2 linked regions of the Cricetulus griseus genome follow. The protein of the gene in region 2 interacts with the protein of the main gene of each other region in a pairwise test. Links are inferred from orthologs where the notes say so. Each region holds a gene or a part of one and is shown on either strand. Other genes may lie near its edges.

The links.
Region 1: the proteins of Pde6d (region 2) and Rap1a interact in a two-hybrid assay, tested with the Homo sapiens proteins (2 studies listed by BioGRID). The link is inferred for Cricetulus griseus from reciprocal best matches to the Homo sapiens genes PDE6D and RAP1A.

What each region holds. Positions count from the first base shown.
Region 1 is NW_023276806.1:51,206,367-51,210,117, reverse strand, and holds the start of Rap1a (ras-related protein Rap-1A), read right to left. Parts: upstream 2,578-3,751; 5' UTR 2,463-2,577; intron 1-2,462. UniProt on the Homo sapiens protein: Counteracts the mitogenic function of Ras, at least partly because it can interact with Ras GAPs and RAF in a competitive manner. Together with ITGB1BP1, regulates KRIT1 localization to microtubules and membranes.
Region 2 is NC_048595.1:438,214,686-438,217,307, forward strand, and holds part of Pde6d (retinal rod rhodopsin-sensitive cGMP 3',5'-cyclic phosphodiesterase subunit delta), read right to left. Parts: intron 2,604-2,622; coding exon 2,478-2,603; intron 1,522-2,477; coding exon 1,416-1,521; intron 1-1,415. UniProt on the Homo sapiens protein: Promotes the release of prenylated target proteins from cellular membranes. Modulates the activity of prenylated or palmitoylated Ras family members by regulating their subcellular location.

The DNA of each region.
Region 1 (3,751 bases), on a different chromosome or scaffold from region 2:
TTACTGTTCTTAGACCACACTGGCCTCCTAGCTGCTCTCAAAAAGGCCATGTACACTCTGAGGTCTTTGCACTAGAAGCCTTTCTTCCTGGGGTCTCTTTGAACACAAGGGAGCACACATCCCTCTCTCACTTCCTCCAGGTCTCTGCTCCAGTCTCAGGTCTTTGCTGGCAGTGTTTTCCTCTAGCTCCGCACCAGTCCTCTGTCTTCTGTACAGCTCCATCACCTGGCACTCTACATTTATTTGGGAATGAATGGTCTATACCTCATGACTGATGGGATGACAGCAAGAACTCTGTTTTAGCCACACAGCAAACATGCTTAATGAACTGATATGGCATATTTTCATAATTAACTACACGAAAACCATGCATATAAACAAGCTTGAAAGAGAGAAAAAGAAATTATTTGATTTTCAAATTCTCCTATTACTAAAAAGTAGATTTACATGTAAAAGCCTAATTAGTCATAATTATGATTTTAAAGGGCCAAAGGATACTAGGGAGTATTGGTTTTAAAATGACTGTGGGTTAGGACTGGGGATATAGCTCAGTGGTAAAGTGCTTTGCCAACTAACTGTTCTTGTAACTCTGGGTTAGATCCCCAGCACTACAAACAAAATGACTGCTAATAAATCGGTTACCTACCATGTGTGAAGCTGGGGTTGATCCCCAGCCCCACATGCACCAGGCATGGAAGCACATACCTAACCAAGCACTCTAGAAGTAGAGGCATTAGAAGTTCAAGGTCTTCTTCAACTGCATTACTGACTTATACATGAAACCTGTTTGGGGGTGGTGGTGGTTACTGAGAACATAAAATTGTAAGACAATCACTCTTAAACCTTGTTATCAAATCCCCAGAAGTTCAGGTGAAGACACAATCACAACCAAAGGCCACAAAAAAAGTACACTTTTGTAAAGTTCTAATAAGAAACTGAATAATATCTGGGATTTCAGTTCACTTTTAAAATAAGTGTCTATGGGGGACTTTAGAGGAGTCCTGAAACTGAATGCAAAATTTTGTGCATAAATGTCTATTTTGTTTTTCCTGGGCAAAAAAAAAAAAGAGCCCATATTCTCAAAAGTATCAGTTTAAGAATGACATTTTTAATTAATGGAAGTGAAATGCAACATTTAACATAAAGATACCTCTCAAAAAGATATGAGATGAAAATCAGACACTGAACTGAACCATTCAATTCATTTAACAAATGTTGGGACACATGTAATCCTTGACAAAATGAACACAATCATAACAAAATATGAAGTGTCAAGGAAGCTAAACAAGATTCACTGAAACACCACACTAAGAAAGCATATTCAACAATATAAATTTAATTTTGAAACAAAGTGTTACAGAAAAGCATAAAGACAGAAAGGAATCTGGGGCCTAATCTAGCACTTATATCAAAGTGTTGCAGAATTCAATTACATCAAAAGAAAAGAAAAACTACTCATAGGCATACCCACCCCCACACATTCTGACAGGAAACTCAAAGAAAGTTTCCAAATCCTGTTTCCAGCATCATCTCTTGTAACTGCCTACTTTCGAAGGCAAGCTACCCTGGTTAATTTTGAGGGTCGACACTTTGATTCTAAGAAAACCAGAACGGATCTTCTGCCACCCAAGAAGCAGAAACCAGTGGCTGGTACCTGTAACGCTTGGCCCATTAACCTCCTGCCCTTTTATTCCATTTCTTACACAGTACTTCCTTCAAAGCAGCGACAAAACGATTTTCCCTTCCCAACGGCAACACACTGTTCCTCAACGTTAGTTCTTTTTCCAAAGGATCAAAGGTCCCCTAAACTCTGGTTTTCCATCCTGTGAGGAAATCTAGGGATCTATTTTTTTTTTTTAGGCACAACTGTCCTGCCTTACTCTTCTCCTTACAACAGCAGATTACACAATTCAGCCGCAGACACTGTCCTTAACTTTCTGAGTGAGACAAGCCACGATCCCACCACCCCGACACGCCTCACACACCCTCGATGGGAGGAAGACAAGAATCACACCGTGGCCTCTACCCTGACAAAATGCAAGGGAAGCAGCAGAAACCAGAGAGGAGAGCAACGCTGCAAAAGCGAACACATGGCAAGCCGCAGAAGACAGAGGGCAGGGAGGGCGGGAACCCGGCTGGCTGGCGGCGGAGTGGGACGCGGAGGTGTCAGCGCTCGGAGGCCGGGGCAAAGGCCGCACGGAGGGCACTGCACTTCCCCGGCCCCGGGGACGACACCTCGGAGCGGGCGCGGACACGCGTCTCCTCTCGCGGCCCGCCCCTTGCGGCCGGTCCCGCAGGCCCGGCCGGGCGGCCTCGGTCCGCGGGCGTGGCTGGCTCCGGCCTCCAGCCGCGGCCCCTCCCGCCCGCCAGCCCCCGGGCCGTCGCCCGGGACTCGCGGGCGGCTATGAAGAGGTCACCGAGGCGCGGCCAGCCCGCGCCCCCCATTTGAGCCCCGCACTCACCCCGCGGCCCGGCGCCTCCTCCACCTCCTCCTCCTCCCTCCTCTCCGCCGCGGCTCGGGCTCGGGCACTGCGCGGCGGCGGGCGGCGGCGGCCTCGGGAGCGGCGGCGGCGGCGGCGCCTCCGGAACGCGCACGCACGTAGCACGCAAGCCCCGCCCACAAGCCCGGGCCCCGCCTTCTCGGACGCGGTTTCCCGTGTCTATTTAAAGGAGCCGCGCTTCAAAGGATGGGGACTGTGGAAGAATAGTGTGCAGAAGGCAACTGGGGCCTCGCCTCGAGGAGGTGGTTAAAGCAAAAATTGAAATGAGGAAGGACCAAAAAATTCAGAGAGAAGAGAATTTTGAGGGGATGCAATCACTTGGCAGTTACTAGTTGAGCACCAAATAGGTGCTTGACTCTGGTCTAGGCATATACAGGGAAAGTCACTTTCTAGAGCTTTCATTTTCCTGAGCTGGGAGAAGGAACACAACAATAAGCAAGTAGCAAAAATCACAGGCCACCAGAGGAGCTTTGCACACTTTCGCTCATTCTCCGAAGAAGCAAGTTTAGCAAATCCAGAGTCTGCATGAGAGGAACATCACTTTGAGGCTGAGAGAAAATCAGCAAAAAAACAAAAAAACAAAAAAACCCAGAGTGGAGATGTGTCTGCCATATTAAATGAATGGCAAAAGGCAAATGGAAGGGTGGATGAACAAAGGCTATGGCCAAAGAACAGAGTAGTGAGACTCCTAGATTTATACACACTAGACCCTGTGGAGCCTGTGGTCTATTGTAATGGCCATAGGAAGCCCTGAGGAGAGGGTGGGCCCCAAATGACTGTATCTAGTTTGTGTTTTTAGAGGTTAGCATTATTCAGGGTGTGGTGTCTCACTCCTGTAATCCCAGTATTTTGAAGACTGGAGCAGGAGGATTGCCACAAGTTTGAGGTTAGCCTGGACTACCTAGTGAGTTTCAAGCTCTTTGGGGACTAGAGTAAGTCTCGCTGTGTATAAGAAATACACGATAGAAGCACAAATGTCCACAGGGGCAGTTTGGTGAGTGGCTGTTCTTGTCACTTTGGACAAGAGTGGCAGCAGAGTGTAAGGTGTTATTTTATTTTAGATTATTTTTTATTTTTGATATTTTAGTTTTTTGTAATTTTTTTATTAGTTCAAATTAGGAACAAGCTTGCTTCACATGTCAATCCCTTCTCCCTCTCCCTCTCCCTATCCCTCCCCTCCTCTCCTCCCCTCCCCCTATTTTAGATTTTGTTTATATTAGTTTTATTAAATGCATTTTAATTAGGTTGGT
Region 2 (2,622 bases):
GGTCTAATTAGAGACCCTGTCTCAAAAAAATATTGTATTTTATCTGCATAGATGTTTTGCTTACATGTAAATCTGTACAACATACATGTGCCTGGTGCCTTTGGAGGCTTTAAGAGGGTATGGGATCACATGGAATTGGAGCTACAGAGAGTTGAGAGTTGTCATGTGGGTGCTGGGAATCAAACTTGGGTTCTATGGAAGAGCAGTCAGTACTTTTAACTGCTAAGCCACTTCTCCAGCTCCTCTATGTCTCATTTATACATTTGCTGTGGCTTTAATAAAGGATATCCTGTAGATGACCTAGGGTTACACAATTATTTGTGGGACTAAACTTCTAGACAACACTACTACTGAAACTTCTTTTTGGTAGTGCTGGGCGTAGAACTTACACATGTTGAGCAAGCTCTTTGTCACTGAGATACATCCCCAGGCCTATTGAAATATTTGAAAGACTCAATCTTTTCCCAGGAATATATGCTAAGTGGGCAGTTACTGACAATGTTTTCAGACTTTTATTATTATTACTGTGTATCTGTGTATGATGTGTGTGGTAGTGCAGGAGCATGTGGTGCATACCATGGTTCACATGACTCATGTACCAAGGCATACACCACATGTCAACTTTTGGAGAGCATTTCTCCTTCTAGCTTGGGTTTCAGAGATCAAATTCAGACCACCAGGTCTGTCCCATTAAGCACTTTTATCAGCTGAGACATCTTGCTAGCCATTGGCAGTTGTTCTGACAAACAAAGGAACTGTTTGTTGATCAGGAAGCAGTTAGGGAATCATAGGCCAGTTTCTGGAAGCCTATGCCCAGATGCTATCCTCTAAGATGGAGCATTCTGGAGATGTGGTAAGGGGATCCAAAGTGTGTATAGAGACTTGGTGAGAAAATGAACTTGCTAGATTTGACATCCATTTTGTGCTGGTTCTTTTCCACATTGTCTCAATTTTTTTTTTTTTTTTTTACCTTCACTGTATCCAAGAAAATAAGGCTCTGCAAGGTAAGACATCACCCAGCTTGGTGGTGGTACATGCCTTTAATCCCAACATTTGGGAGGCAGGTAGGTGGATCTCTCTGAATTCCAGGGCAGCCTGGTCTACAAAGTGAGTTTCAGGACAGCCAGGGCTACACAGAGAAACCTTGTCTCAAAAAAACCAAAACCAACCAACCAACCAACCAACCAAAGACATTATCACCCAAAGACAAGTCATCAGGGTGAACTGGAAATTTAAAACGTGGTCTAAAGATTTTGAAACTACTGTTTTTCAAGGTCAGTAACCCTGACACAGCCCTGGGTAATTTTCTGCTCTCACTTCTCTCTAGATTTCTGCTTGTGAACAGGGCCAGGAGTCCCACCTGCCTGAAAGCCTGTTTTGAGACACACTTTGAAATTCCCTGAGACCTCACTCACGTTAGGACGCTGGCGGGCATCATCTGGGACTCGGGTGCTGCTTCTATCAAGGACTGCCAGGTATTTGTGGAGTTAGGGATCACAAAGCCAAACTCGAAGAACCACTCTGAAGGAAGAAGGAAAAGCTAGTGAGCAAGTGCTATTGTGGGCACGGGAAACCATAGGCTATTTGTCCCTCTCCTTTAGAGTGGGCTCTTCCTATCCAGAATCATGAAAGGACTTATCAGATGCCTCCTAAACCAGAGGCATAGGAAAAGACACAGACCTTCACAGACCATCTTCTGATTTGTGCCACAGGCTTCTTACGCCCACTCCCCCTCAAGGCAGGGTTTCTCTGTGTAGCTCTGGCTATTCTATTCTGGAACTAGTTCTATAGACTAGGCTGGCCTCAAACTCAGAAATCCACATGCCTTTGCTTCCTGAGTGTTGGGATTAAAGGCATGTGCCACCACTGCCTAGCTAGGCAGTGTTTTCTTTTCTTTTTTAGATTTATTTATTTATTTATCATGTATACAGTGCAGGCCAGAAGAGGGCACCAGATCACATTACAGATGGTTGTGAGCCACCACGTGGTTGCTGGGAATTGAACTCAGAACCTCTGGAAGAACAATCAGTGCTCTTAACCCCTGAGCCACCTCTCCAGCCCCAGCTGTGTTTCCTTAGGAGTAACAAGATGTGCACTAAAATAGAGATAGAGAGCCTTTTGGAATTTTAGCTTTATGGCGCCTACATGTTCTCTTACATTTGAGAACTACTCAATGCCGGGAGTCCCTACTAGTTTCAGCTTATGATGTGCAGGTACAGCTCTATACTACACTTCACCATAGCTGCTTCTTCCAAGACCACATTGTAATACCACACCAGATACAGGCACAGGTACAGGCACTCAAGCTTCCAGTGTCAGAGAGCTCAAAGCCCCTTTTGTGTCCAGCCTTGTTTGTTTTCACTGGGGATGCCCAGTTTGTAGACATTCTATTAGTTATAAAATTAGCATTCTCAAAGCATCTGCCTTTTGCCCCATCCTCCTACACTCTGGCTCCAGGCACACATGTAGCAGAATACCTTCTAGGCATTGCCCTTTGAAGTAAACTTTTTGTTCCAGGCGGAATTTTTCCATTTGCTCTGCAGAAGAAAAGTTCAGTTCTCGAGACACTGCCTTGCACTTGAGGATTTTCTTGGGCACACGGGCTGATAAAGAGAGAGAGAG